Elephas maximus indicus: one gene and its partner. The protein of the gene in region 1 purifies or fractionates together with the protein of each later gene. This does not show direct contact. Links are inferred from orthologs where the notes say so. Each region holds a gene or a part of one and is shown on either strand. Other genes may lie near its edges.

Region 1 (7,163 bases):
TCAGTACAGTATTGTATGTAGTTATTTTTATTATCGTATTATTATGTACTGTATTACGTTCATGATGTTTTAGTGTATTTGGAAGTATTTAAGGGTTTTATATGCATAGAAAGGTAAAATATATACTAAGACAAACATTTGACTGACACTAAATAAGAATCATATGTACCTGTTCTGACTTACCTGCAAATTCGACTTAAAGACAGAGTTAGGAATGGATCTCGTTCGTAGCCTGGGGACTACCTGTATTCACACACACACGCACGCACGCACGCACGCACACACACACACAGATTTATTTTGAAGAATTGGTTCATGAACCTTTGGGGGGCTGGCAAATGCAAAATCCATAGGTTAGGAGATAGACTGTAGACTCCTGCAGTATTCTGTCCCAAAATCAGTAAGTCAGGCGGCTGGGGAGAGGGGGATTCTGACAGAATATCTAGTCTAGAGGCAGAATTTTCCCTTGGGAAACCTGTGGTTTGCTCGTAAGGCCTTCAGCTGCTTGGATGAGGCTCACACACTTTATGAGGGTAATCTGCTTAAGACCAGCTGATAAAAACAATTATTAGCTGCTATTCAGTCAACGCCCAGCTCATGGCAATCCCATGCACAATGGAACCAAACACTGCCCGGTCCTGCGCCATCCCCATTTGTTATGGATTGGACCATTGTAATCCAAAGGGTTTTCACTGGCAAATTTTTGGAAGTAGATCACCAGGCCTTTTTTCCTAGTCCGTCTTAGTCTGGAAGCTCTGCTGAACATGCAAGTCTCCACGGACAGATGGGTGGTGGCTGCGCTTGAGGTGCATTGGCTAGGAATGGAACCCAGGTCTTCCACATGGAGAGCAAGAACTCTACCGCTGAACCACCACAGTAACAACTAGACTGGTGTTTGATGAAACAACTGGGCACCATCGCCTAGCCAAGTTGATGCAAAATTAACCACCACAGGGTCCTCCCAGGGTCATTCAAGGGAGAGCCCAGGGTTCGGGCATCTATAGGACCTGGCAAGTTGGGTTTGAGTGGAGAGTAGGAAAGGAGAGGCAGGACATGGAAGAGGTGGTGTGGGCAAGGCTTTGTGCCCTTCACACCCTGCATGGGTCAGTGCTGAGACGAGCTTTCTCCTTGACCTTCACAGGACTTCAACAGACACCTGGACACACTCACAGAACATTATGACATCCCCAAAGTCAGCTGGACCAAGTAGCCTCCTGGCCCCTGGGCATGGCGTGGCCTCATGGGGAAGCAGAAGACAGAGTTGGGGTTAAGTCGGGTCCCTTTGGCATTTTCTAGAAACATTCTTTTACCCATGCCTTTGCATTTTCTGCTGCAACCGTGCATTTTGAAACTGTCTCCTTGTTCTAGAACTTGATTAAAGTAAGACTGTCCTTTGACTCAATTTTGGTTTTTAGTGTGGGCTGGAAAGCTTTGGAAGTTTATCCAGAGGTTCAAGTCGTTGCTGTGTAAGTGCCATGTAAGAATATTTAGTTCTCTGAGTTGCATTTAAGCTTCTGAGGACAACCAAGCAGTTCTCTTCATCCAGATAAAACTGACTCCAGAGGATAAGGAGCTAATGCTGGTGTGGCCTGCAGTGTGCAGACCCCCTTATATGTAGGCTCCCCTTCTAAACTCCCATGAGCTTGGGGCTTAAGCTCTTCCATCCAGGATGCAGGGAAGCTACCCATGGCTTTGTGGTCTTCCAACCACCTCCACAGCCCTCTTGCCTGGGACGCAGAGGATGGCTGCCTATGGCAGGGATGAAGCATCCCACCTGGTCCCTTTCTGAGCCCATGACTGGCTTGCAGCCCCTCTCCCAGTTTCCCCATCCCAGACACTTCTAATGGGTGTCACCATGGCCCCTGTGGCAGACATTGCAAATCATTCACAGCCTTCTTTGTAATGGAGCCCAGATACCACCTGACTCCCCCCTCAGCCAGGGTTCCAAGTTGGCACATGACCAGGGCTGAACTCCAGCACAGACAGACATGTATGTGATCAAACAGAAGGACCCCATTACCGGCGGTGGAGAGCCAGGGTCTTTTGGGGGCCTGTGTTTATTGGATGAGGCTCAATCTGTATACTGGGGGAGACAGTCTCTGCTGACCCAGCTTCTGAAAGAGTAACAAAGCGAGAAGACAAAAATCAAGTGTGGGGCTTGAGGCTGTTACATGTGAACTGCAGAATAAAGCAACAACCAATTATTAAATGAGTCTGTGTGTCTTAGTTATAAGCTGTTTGGTTTCCACACGGGAGGCGGCCTCTTGAATTTATCGCACATGAAGGGTGTGCATGCCTGTCTTAGCTATCTAGTGCTGCTATAACAGAAATACCAGAAGTGGGTGGTTTTAACAATGAAATTTGTTCTCTTACAGTCTAGAAGGCTAGAAGTCCAAAATGAGGGTGCCAGTTCTAGGGGAAGGCTTTCTCTCTTTACCAGTTCTGGGGGAAGGCCCTTGTCATCAATCTTCCCCTGGTCTGGGAGCTTCCCTGCACTGGGAACCCTGGATACCAGTGCTGCTTTCTTGGTGTTATGAGTCATACCCCCGCCATCCCTTGCTTCTGTTATATCTCAAAAGAGATTGGCTTAAAACAGAACCTAATCTTGTAGATCAAGTCCTGCCTCAGTAACGTAACTGCCACTAATCCCATCTCATTAGCATCATAGAGACAGTATTTACAACACATAGGAAAATCACATCAGATGACAAAATGGTGAACAATCACACAATACTGGAAATCGTGGCCTACCCAAATTGATAGATGTGTTTTTGGGGGACACAATTCAATCCATGACAATACCTTAAAGGACTAAAAACAAAAGGTCCCTGAGTGGTGCAAATGGTTTGTGCTGGACCACTAAAGGTGGTTCAGAACCACCCAGTGGCGACCCAGAAGAAAGCCCAGCTATCTTCCACAGAGATTTTTTGTCAGGTGCCACTGAGGCATTGGCAACTCATAGTGACCCCATGTGATAGTGGAATGCTCCATATGGTTTTCTTGGCGATAGTCTTTATGGGGGTGGATGGCCAGGTCTTTCTGCCGAGCGGCTGCCTGGGTTTGAACTGCCGGCCTTTTGGTTAGCAGCTGGGTGTGTAACTGTATGTGCCACCAGCCAAGAAAACCCTGTGGAGCAGATAGGGTCATCATGAGTCGGAACTGATGGCAGCTTTTTTTTTTTTTTTTTTTAGACCAGGGATGGGAGGAGGGAAAAAAGGCGAAGTTATTTCTTAGGAAGCAGTGAGCTTTTGTTAAGAAACCAAAACCAAACCAAACGCACTGCTGTGGAGTCGATTCCGACTCAGCGACCCTATAGTTTCCAAGGAGCGCCTGGCGGATTTGAATTGCCGACCTCTTGGTTAGCAGCCATAGCACTTACCCACTAGGCCACCAGGGTTTCCCTTCTGTTACGAGTGATGGAAAAATTTAGAAACTGAGATGGCTGCACAACATGATGAACACAGCATCACTCGATTGTACATGTAAAAACTATTGAAATGGTAAATATTACATATTTTTACCACAATAAAACAGACTGTTCTTTTCATCTATGTTCAGTGAGGGCGTGGTTTTCACGAGATCATTCCAGGCAATAAGCAGAAAACCACGCTTTTCCACTGACGAACGTTAGTAATGACAGGTGACAGTGACCGCGGTAAGGCGTAACTGCCTTTCAGAGAGTTTCCTTGACCTTTTTCCAAGTAAATCGCCACCTCTCCCCTCCCAACGGAGCCTTCTAGACTCCCACATCAGACTGCGGCTCCGTAAAGCCTGGGCCCCAGGTGAGGCCCCCCTTTGACATCTTGCACCTAACTAGGCGCGGACTTCTGGATTCTGGAGGCGGGGTGGGAAACGTGGCTCGCACCGGGCTTCTGCGCCTGTGCACGCTCCGTTCTGCGCCTGCGCGATGCTGGCAACTCCGCCCAGGCCGGACATAACGGTCCGCGCGCGGCTCCCAGACCGGAAGTGGAGGCGGGCTGTCGCGGGGCGCCGGCCTTGATCAACGCCCGGCTGTTTCCGCAGCTGCTGTTGAGGCTGCCGCCGAGGCCTCCGGCAGCCGCCATGTCCGCTAGCGCCGTCTACGTGCTGGACCTGAAGGGCAAGGTACTCAGGGCTCCCCACCCGCATCGTTGCCGGGAAACCGGCGGGGGCCTCGCCCCTCGGGGACCCACCCCGTTGCTAGGTGACTGGCCAGTGGGCCCCACCAAGGTGTGAGGCCGGGAGGCTGCAGGGCCGCACCTGAGGACTCCACCCTATTACTGGAGAAGCAGGCGGGGTCTTCTGCCCGCGAGCCCCGCCCTGTTGCTAGGTAATGCAGTGGGCTGCCTTGTGGTTGGCAACCGCCAGGTAACCGGCTTCACCACCCTCCCCGCCTCTCAGCGAGGCTCGGGAACTCAGGCCTCCGTGGGGGCCCGGGAGGCCTCAGGGAGGGCAGGCCCAGCGCTGAGGGACCGCGCGACCCTTGGCCAGAAGTGGCGAGGCGTGGCGAGAACAGCATGCCCTGGGGTTCGTTCCGCTCTTGGAGTCGCAGCCGCTACAGTTCAGCGGGCACCTTTTCTGTCCCAGACCCGGTAGGCGTTGCTCAAGGAACGTTCATGGTGACACTGAGTCTGTACAAGAGTTAGGTGAAGTGGGCAGTGGAAGCGCCAATGTGCAGAGGGGGAAACCGAGGCACAGAGGCTGAAGCACCCACCCAAGGTCACACGGGTCGCAGAGAAATGGCAGGTGGAGGCCTCGATCCCAGGAGGCAAACCCAGAATCACCTATTGGCTCAGCTAATTTTTGTAGGACTGGTACTGAGCGCTAGACCAGGCTGCTGTTCTGGTTTCTCCACTCCAAATTACGATGACTCAATGAGTGCAAAGCAGAACTGTGCTCCACAGGGTTTTCTAGGCTGTGACCTTTTGAAGTAGATAGCCAGGCCTTTCTTCCAAGGTGCTTCAGGATGGACTCAGTACCAATCTTTCAGTTAGCAGCCAAACTTGTAAAGCATTTGCACCATCCAGGGATTCCAGAATGTTACAGGTTGTTAGTTGCCAGTCAATTCTGACGCATGGCCACCTCATGTGTGCAGAGTAGAGCTGTTCTGCATAGGATTTTCAAGGCTGTAACTTTTCAGAAGCACATTGCCAGGCCTGTCTTCCGAGGCACTGCCGGGTGGTTTTAAACCACCGACCTTTCAGCTAGCAGTCTAGTGTAACCGTTTGCACTACTCAGGGACTAGCGCCAAGCAGGGGGAGCAGTCCCTGTCCCGTGGGGCCCACAGTTTGGTAGGGGAGTTGGGCAGTAACCTCAAAAAACACAAACCAATATGCACTGCAGTGGAAGAGCGATGACCATGTATAGTAGGGAGGTCCCACCTCAACTCAGGGATCAAGGAGGCCCCCCAAAAAAGTGGCAAGTGCACTGAGGTGGGAGGGAGTGTTGGACATGCCTGGATCAGGAGCTTATGCTGGTTCCAAAAACCAGGTGCCTTTCCAGGAGAGTCTGACCAAAAAACCAAAACCAAACTCGTTGCCGTCAAGTCCATTCTGACTCACAGCGTTCCCATGTGTTACAAAGAACTGAGCTCCACAGGGTTTTCTTGGCTATTATCTATATGGACGATCACTAGGACTTTCTTCTGCCACACTGTGGGGTGGGTTTGAACTGCCAATCTTTAGGTTCGCAGCCAAGCACAAACTGCTTGAGTCACTCAGGGACCTTAGGGGTGTCTGAGAGAGCTGCTTAAAGGAGTGGTCATGAAAGCCTTTCAGAGGTGGGCTGCTGTCCTCCCCCAAGCCCACCCAGTGGTGGAGAGGCAATGGCCATCTGACCTCTTACATCTGGGAGTGACAAAAACAGATACAACAATGTCAGACAAGTCTGATGTTGATCATTGAGAGGGACGTGGATGTCAGGTCCTGGGGGAGGGAAGGGAAGTTAGCACAGAAGCAGACAGGAGCCAAGAGGTGACCTGACTGCCTCTCCCTCCACCCCCAACACCTTTCCCATGAGTGGATGGCCTGAGGCTCCCCTCCTTGGATGCCACCCAGAGTCAACAGCTTTTGGCTCCCTTGTTTGGCTTCCTTGCCCAGCCTTCTCAGAGGCAGGGAAGACGGGCACCCCAGGACTGGAGGAGCAGTGTACCCTGAGGCTTTGTGCTTGTGTTCTGCTTCCGCCCTGGCCCGTCTCACTGGCTCATGGCTTTAGCAAATGTTATGTGAGCACCTAGCACGTGTTGAGCACTGTGCCAGGCACAGGGGGCCCCTTTGGCCCTGGGGCCTGGGCGAGCTCAGCACCCTTCCCTGCAGCACAGTGTGTGGCCTTGGCAGGCACCTCCCCTTGGGCCTCACTTTCCTCATTGATCAAGTGAGTCCGTTTCGGGGATGTTGTGGGGACTTGCTGAGCGATATGCGAGGCTCAGCCCCATGCCCAGCCTACTGTCCACAGCCCTCAGTCCAGCTGGGAGACACGCCAGGCAGCAGATACATTACCGGATGGTCAAATCCTGCAGCCACAAGGGCAGGGACAAGCCCTGAGGGGCCACAGTTGCTCAACCTCACTTCGGCTGCAGGAAGGGAGGTGGTTACAGAAGGCTCCCGGAGGAGGTCTGGGTTTGGGAAGGTGACCAGGTGGCAGTCAGGTTAACAGGGAGGCAGTCCAGTGGGTGCACGGGGGTCAGGGGCAGCCACTGGGGCTGGAGAGCCAGTCATCCCTCATAATGCTGGTGCATGGAGGGCAGCACCAAGGGGACTGTGGGTGTTGAGATGTACAGATGGAAGAGGGGACAGAAGGACACAGGGAGGAGGAGCCACCACAGGGAAATTGTGGCTGGGAGAAGCATGACCAGTCTTGCCTTTCGGAAGCTCATTTTCAGCAACCAAGACGACATTTATTCTTCCCCTCACCGTGGACTTCATGCCTGGAAAGCTCACCTCTTGAGCAGATGGTGTTTAAGCAACACTAAGTGAATAACACCTGAAGCAATTCATGACCACGCGTCTCTGCTACTCAGAGCCTCCAACCACTGGGAGATCAGCATGGCCAAGAGCCTGCTCCCCCCTTGTCTTCCAGCCTCTCGCAGTTCCTGACACCGCAAACCACCTCCTTTAGCATGTGTCTGTGGTGCCACACTTAGTTGTCACCCTGTTTCTCTTGCTTCTCTCCTCGGGCCCTCCTTA
Region 2 (7,337 bases), on another chromosome or scaffold:
CTGGTTTCCTTTTGAGATTGAAGTTAGAAATCCTTTAGGGATTTGCACTCTTTCTTATTGAGGGAGAGCTTCCCAGCCCCTGCCTCTTTGGCAGTGGCACATGGCTCCTTCCTCTTAGAAGACTTGCTGCCTAGCAGCAGACCTAAGATGCAACCCAGGCAGAACAGAGGCATTTTTCTCAATTAAGTGGCTGGCATCTCTGAGACCTTCTGATTGGACCATGCCCATTCCACTGGAGCTCTGATGACTGATCAAAATTTGAGCTCTCTTTATGGAAGAGGGGAAACCCTGGTGGCACAGTGGTTAAGTGGTATGGCTGCTAACCAAAAAGCTGGCAGTTCGAATACACCAGGTGCTCCTTGGAAACACTATAGGGGATTTCTACTCTGTCCTATAGGGTTGCTATGAGTCAGACTAGACTCAACTCGACAGTAACGGGTTTGGGTTTTTTTTTTTTTTTGGTCATGGAAGAGGTAGGACTTGGAAAGCTTTCTTTATAGGGGAGGTAAGTAAGGTGAGGCTGTACGTTTTGGTGCCACATTCAGTCCCTGAACTATAAAGGTCTATAGAGTTTTGATCCTGGGACTGAGTTTCATTGGCACCTAGGGCCAGGAGAGAGTATAAGAAAAAGAAAGACTGAGATATACTCCTTTACTACCTCATCTATCCCTTTTGTATACTTACATGAGCTCAAAGATCTCCCCGATGAGCATACAAGTGAAGCCATTCTTCTGATGTAGATTATAAACGTGTAATCGTTAAGAAAAAGTAGTTGGTAGAGGCAGCAATTAAGCACACAGACTTTGGTGTCACACACCTGAGCTTAAGTCCTACCTCTCTGACTTTCTAGCTTTATGACTCCGGCCAAGTTACTTAACCTCTAAGCTTTTTTCCACAGTGGTATACGGGGAATAACAAGGCCTATCTTTTAGAATTATTAGATCTAAAACAATACAGGCAAGATACTTAACACATAGCTGACATAGAATGAGTCCAAAAGACATGAATTATTAGGATTATTAGGAACTCATCAAAAAGGAGAATCTCCCTTAGAGAAGTTACTTATAAATTAACACCACAAAGTACAAGGTACATAGCTCTCAGAAATTGTGGGGCATCATTATTTTTAAGGATCATTGTTTCCCCAGCCTCTCATCCCCGTTCCAGGGATTAGAAACAAACTCACCCCAACTTCTCATCAGAGACCTGGCCTAGAGAGAGGCTCAAGATTCTAAAGTCCCAATACAGTCACAAAGGATATTCGAGAGAAGAAGAGGTCAAGGTTTTCAATGTGGTGCCAAGGTGCTGTGGACACAAGGGCAAGGATGTCAGAGCCCTGAAGGAACATCAGCCCCTTGCTCCCTCAGTGTCCCCCCCCACACCCCAGTCCCCATGTCCCAGCTCTGGATGTCATGTCCAAGAACTCACACTTGCTCCCCTCAGGGACATGCACCAACAGGTCTTCCTCCCCTGGAGGTGAATCGCTGTAGGAGGCCTCTAGGCGTTGGTATTCAGTGTCAAACTGCGCCATCACCGCCGCCCCCTGTCCACCTTATCCACCTGCCAGTGATGAGGAAGACGAGACCCTGGTTCAGGCCCAGAGGCTGTCTGCCTGCTGGCCTGCCTACTAGGCCAGGAATGAGAAGGAATCCTTGGGCTTTGTCTCCACTACTAGGCTCCTTGGGCCAAAGGCAGGGGAGAAGGAGTAACCCAAGGAAGGCAGTGAGCTCAGGGCTTGGGAGACCTTAACTGGTCAGTCATTCCCAGAGCTTTTACTGAGTTTCAGTTTCTGCCTTGCTGGCCTGAAGCCAGACTCTGCCCTTTGAGGGACTGTTTTGCCTTCTATTCAGTGGAGAGAAGGGGCCCTCCCGCTCCCCTCCTAGGGAGACCCTGGTCTCCCAAGAGACAAGCAGTTTGGAAGCACTTAGAAAACAAAGGTTTGAAATAAGCACATGACCCTACCAGCTCCATGGACAGTGTCTGCTCCACTCCAGCCGTCGGTGCCCTGGCTCTGCAGCTGCTGGAGGAGAAGATGTCAGGCCCCAGAGAGTGGGAAGTGGGGACAGAAAGGCACTGAACTCTCCCACTCACTCCCACCTCCCATTAAGAGGAGGTCAAGCATGGGGCAGGGAGGCTGCAGTGGGGAAGAAGTGCTGTTTCAGCCTAGGAGTATCAACAGTTTCTCTGGCTGTATGGTCCATTCAACTCAGGGTACCAGGAAGTGACTTACTGACCTGTGGAGCCTGGGTCAGCGTGGGCCTGAAGTCCAGTGGCCCCTCTGGACTATTTCCTCATTGTCCCACCTCAGCTTCAGAAATAAGGCAAGCATCTCAGGGTCCAGAAAGCCCCAAGCCCAAAACCCAAGAAAAGTCTTTTCTGAGGCTCTTTCTAGTCAACCTTTCCCTGCTTCCCTAGCACCAAAGATTCAGCAGACAGGCATGGCTCTTGAGGGGAACTTTCTCACTGGATCAATGGAGACCCCAGATCCCGTATGAATTTGTAGGTTCTCTGGCGCCAGACATGATCTCAGTGGCACTCACCCAGTTAGTACAGACCCCGGGGGCGACGAGTCTTGGCCCAGTCTGGCCCCAGTGGGACTCTGGATTAGGGAGAGCTCTGAGTCCAGAGGAGATGATCAAGCCCTCAGAGAAATCACCACTCACCGGGTCTGGGTGGACTCTGGGCCCGTGGAGCCTCGGCTAGGCCTGGGCTCAGGGGTTCCTGCGGATGTTGAAGGAATCCAGCCGGGCCTACAGCCGATAGCCCGGGTGGGTAGAGGTGCCTTCCCACATCCAGCCGCCACGACCTGAGCCCCAGGGTCGCCTGGCCCCTGAACAAGGGCTCAGCTCCCAACAGCGGACAACCTCTCGCGCGGCCCCGCCGCCAGGGCGCGCCCCCGCCATCAAAACATTCTGACTGCGCGTCCCCGCCCCGCCCGCGACGCCCCTTCCCCCGTTACCCGCCGCGAGCTCTCTTAGGGCTCCGTGGGCATCCCTGGCTCGCCCCGGTCCAGGTCCTGGGATTTCAGTTACCGGTCTAGTGTTTCACCTCAGGAACGGTGACCCGGGTGATTTCAGGGGCTCGCTCGGCTCGGCTCGGCTCGGCTCGGCCGGACCCTGAGCGCTAGGCCCGGCGTCTGCCAGTCACCGTCACCCGCAGCCAGCCTGGCCAATGAGCATACGGGGTGGAAGCACGACGGCCAATTCTCGGCTCTGAGGACGGGACTAAAGGCTCGAGGCGGATCTGGCACAGTCAGGGAACCAATACTGTGCTCTACGAGCGGCGGGGCCGAGGTACGGGAGATGTTGTTTGTCCCCTTCGCCGCTCCGTAGCGACGGGACTGTCGTGTTACAGAAGTGCAGGCCTCGAGTTGTAGACGTGCGTGCCGCTCGGCTCCCGGGGATATTTGGTGCAGCTGGTACCGGCGGCAGCGAGTCTATGCAGTTCAGTAGATACCGGAGCTCGTCGTTCGGGTAACGAGGAGCGGTCCATTAGGGAACATCAGTGATTTTAACTGCTAGACTCGATTTAGTAGCTGGCTGCTCCCCCATTTCACTCTCGCGTGGTCTGAGGTTGGGGGTTTGAATAAGCGACCCGGGTCACGTATTTACCCCGGATCTGACTCCGGAGTACCGAGGTGAAGGCCGATATACTTCACGGCTTAGAGGTGACCGAGTCAGTGAGTCCGGAGACGCGGGCAGTAGGATCTCGCTTTAGGGAGTTCGGTTCCTTTCCCCTTTCTGCTCCAGGAGCCGTTTCTAAGTAATTCCTGCTGAGGCATGTCGCCCACTTCAGCTGCAGCCCCGGCTCCTGCGTCGGTCTCCCTGTTTGACCTCAACGCGGATGCCCTGATCTTTCAGGGCCTGAGTCTGGTGAGCCACGTTCCCAGGGAGGCTCTGGCCCAGGCCCTGCACTGTCCAGGTATCCGGGAAGGTTTGGGGTGGACCCACAAGGAACATGACAGGACTATTTGGAGTACATTGCTTCTCCATGGAGCTTGTCTTTATTGGTATTCCCCAGCTCAGGAGCCCACTTTGGTTTCCCTTTCTGCTGGATAAAATTGATCCCTTCAGTTAATCTCGGGGTGGTTTCCAGCACAGGCCCCTGAATTGTCTCCAGACAAGTCTCTTGCCTTTACTTATATCTTTTCTCATTAACACCAATGCCTTCCAAAAATATTTATATATTTAGTTTTATATAATTTTGGTTCGTTTCTGTTTGTGTTTTCTTGCGCCTCTCTTTAAATAAACTACACACTGTAATTGAAAATGTAAGCTAAAAAAACCGACATTTGGGGAGTGGTTTTTGCAGTTAAAAAGAATTCTAATCATACAAAAAGTTATTTTCTGCAGGATTTCTCTAAACTACTCCTCTGGTTCACTTAAGTGCAATGTTTGGTTTGTATTCATTTTATATATTTTTTTTTCAGAAGCATATAACATTATATAAGGTGATTACCGTTCCATTTCTTTCATATTACTTAATTGTAAATTCTTTGAAGATAAGGACATGCCATCTTCTTTTGTAACCTCCTCTGCTTTGTACCATGGATTTGGACTCCTTTTCTACCTCCAGTTATCCTTCCCATATTTAGGTTCAGGTGAGAGAGCGAGCCCAAAAAGAAAACTACTCCAGGGTCCTCCAGATATTTCGGAGAAGTTACATTGTTTAACCTGTGACCACACCTTGCAGAACCACCAGGAGCAGGTAAAGGGCTAGAGTGAGGGCTAGATGTTGGAAGTATAGGTATAATGGTGGGTGGGGAGAGGTACAGTTGTCTTAAAGAAGGTCTATGCTTTGACTAAGGAACTCAGTAAGTTTGTTACTCGTCATACTTTCTGGAACTCCATTCCTACTCTTGGCTACCACATTTTCATCTTCTGCCTCCCTCTTTTCTTCCTACCAGAGAGAACATTATAAGCTTGACTGGCATCGGTTTAACTTAAAGCAACGTCTTAAGGACAAGCCCCACCTCTCTGCCTTGGACTTCGAAAAGCAGAGCTCCACAGGTGACAACTGGTGGGAAACCTGAATGGGAGTATGACATGGGGTAGAGAAAGGCTAGTTCAGGAGTTTAGGGAAAGGTCAAAGTTGGGGTATCAAACTTGTGTATCATGTTGTCCACAGGAGATCTTTCCAGCATCTCAGGATCAGAAGACTCAGACTCAGCCAGTGAGGAGGATTTGCAGATAGTAGATGAGGAAAGGGCTGAATTTGAGAAGCCTAACCAACCACGAGGCTTCCACCCGCATCAGGTTCTTTTCCGAAACGCCCAGGGCCAGTTCCTCTCTGCCTACCGTTGTATCCTAGGCCCTCGCCAGGCAAGTGACAGCACAGGTTGTATGGTCAACCCTGGCCTTTTGTATGATCTCTCTAGATTTCCCCTTAGCCCAGTCTGTTTCTCACTTCTTCCCTTTCTTCCTGTCTTGGTATAGGCATCACACTTGACAGCCATAGTCTTGGGTTAAGCTGACCTGAATCTGGGAAGGATTAACAGTAGTGGAATTAAGTTTGGGAACAGACTGGTCTAGGTTTCAGTTGCGGTTCTACCACTTGTTCTTGGCTACCACTACAAGCCTCAAATTTTCTTATTTGTAAAATGGAGACAATCCTCAGGGTGACTGTATTAAATGAGATAGCGCTGGCATTTGGGAGTCTTTTCGGTATTGGTTTCTTGCTTTCCGTGAATGCAACAGGTAGAATGTTTGTGCTTCTCCTCTTTCAACCAGGTGCCCCCAGAAGAGGCAGGACTTCTGCTACAGAACCTGCGAAGTGGAGGTCCCAGATTCTGTGTGGTGCTCATGGCTGCAGCTGGGCACTTTGCTGGTGCCATTTTCCAAGGGTGAGAGGGTGCTACATAGGGTGAGGATGGAATGGATCCTGTTAGCCTGGGAGCATCAGCTGGTCTCTAGTACTGAATCTGTGCTGTCTACAGAAGAGAAGTGGTGGCACACAAAACTTTTCACCGCTACACTGTACGGGCCAAGCGGGGCACAGCCCAGGGGCTTCAGGATGCCCGGGGTGGGGCTTCTCACTCTGCTGGAGCCAGCTTGAGGCGCTATAATGAAGCCACACTATGTAAGGTGAGTTAGGCCTCCCAGATCTGGCAGTCTTCTGATCCACACTTTTTTCTCTTTTCAATTTAACTCATTAAGTGTTGTAGTGGAGAGGTGTTTTACTTCCATATCTTTCCAATCTTCATCATTTCTGGGTAAACAAAGGTAGAAAAGGAATCCCCAGGGTCTTTAGTACTCATTCTTTCTCACTTTGTGTTATCTCCTACCTCTATGATCTGTGGGTTTTTGGGTTGGAAATTTTAAAATAGCACGTAGAGATGTGCAGGGCTGAGTTACTCTCTCTCCTCTAGGAGGTTCGTGACCTGTTGGCAGGGCCAGGCTGGGCTGAGGCGCTGGTGGAGGCTGGGACCATTCTGCTGCGTGCCCCCCGCTCTGGCCGATCCTTGTTCTTTGGAGGCCGTGGGGCACCCCTGCAATGGGGGGACCCCCGACTTTGGGATATCCCCCTCACCACCCGCAGACCCACCTTCCGAGAGCTACAGCGTGTGCTCCATAAGCTGACTACTTTGCATGTCCATGGTGAGCCTTTGATACAGATCCCCAGATCCCTAGGTTCCTTAGACCTTGCTGTACTCCCAGCCTCAGGTTCTCACGTGTGCATCCAAAGATTTTCCAGGTCCTGAACCGCAGCGCAACCACATCTTCGCTGAGAAGCCTGGGCTGGCTTCTCAGCTACACTTGAGAGTGATCTTTTGTTTGTGGCAGGAGAAGACCCCCGGGAGGCAGTCAGATCAGACTCACCTCAAACACACTGGAAGACAATGAAAGTGGAGAGGAAGGAGGCTATCGAAGAAGAAAGAAGAAAGGTCCCCAGTGATGAAAATGAGGAACTTGGGCAGAATGCACAGTCTCCCAAACAGGGTTTGAGCAACATTTGGCAACTGTCAAATCCCTATATGGGTGTCTATCCTGGAAACGCAGTGGTAGATTTGCTACCCAGATAACTTACCCATGTCCCTATTTACAGATGGGCCCTTCTACCCCAACATACGTATTTACAACCATACCAGTGTCTGCTTATAAAATGGGATATGTCATAACAATTACTGAGACATGCTCAGTGATTGTCTTTCCCATATCTTACCTCTTTTGTTCACTGATGTATCCCCAGGACTTAGAACAATCTTGACACAAAATAGATGCTTGAGTATTCACGTTGCATGAATCTGTTGTATTTGTTTGTCTTACTCCATGCTGTGGTTTTGGGCTGAGCTGCTTTCCTGGCTGCAGATCCTTGGCCTGCATGGCTGTAACTGCTCC

What was found.
Region 2: the proteins of AP1M1 (region 1) and ATG9A purify together in Homo sapiens (affinity purification with western blotting, with the first as the bait; 3 studies listed by BioGRID). This does not show direct contact. The link is inferred for Elephas maximus indicus from reciprocal best matches to the Homo sapiens genes AP1M1 and ATG9A.

What each region holds. Positions count from the first base shown.
Region 1 is NC_064821.1:36,437,176-36,444,338, forward strand, and holds the start of AP1M1 (AP-1 complex subunit mu-1), read left to right. Parts: upstream 1-3,962; 5' UTR 3,963-4,062; coding exon 4,063-4,104; intron 4,105-7,163. Other genes in the region: protein FAM32A, read left to right, coding at 1,142-1,210. UniProt on the Homo sapiens protein: Subunit of clathrin-associated adaptor protein complex 1 that plays a role in protein sorting in the trans-Golgi network (TGN) and endosomes.
Region 2 is NC_064824.1:117,820,921-117,828,257, forward strand, and holds the start of ATG9A (autophagy-related protein 9A), read right to left. Parts: upstream 3,152-7,337; 5' UTR 3,033-3,151; exon of another isoform or gene 2,960-3,032; intron 2,937-2,959; exon of another isoform or gene 2,021-2,936; 5' UTR 1,963-2,020; intron 1,561-1,962; 5' UTR 1,532-1,560; coding exon 1,429-1,531; intron 1,306-1,428; coding exon 1,262-1,305; intron 750-1,261; coding exon 685-749; intron 1-684. Other genes in the region: ANKZF1 (ankyrin repeat and zinc finger domain-containing protein 1), read left to right, coding at 3,780-3,921, 4,595-4,707, 4,907-5,009, 5,128-5,321, 5,730-5,842, 5,936-6,083, 6,368-6,596, 6,783-6,938. UniProt on the Homo sapiens protein: Phospholipid scramblase involved in autophagy by mediating autophagosomal membrane expansion. Cycles between the preautophagosomal structure/phagophore assembly site (PAS) and the cytoplasmic vesicle pool and supplies membrane for the growing autophagosome.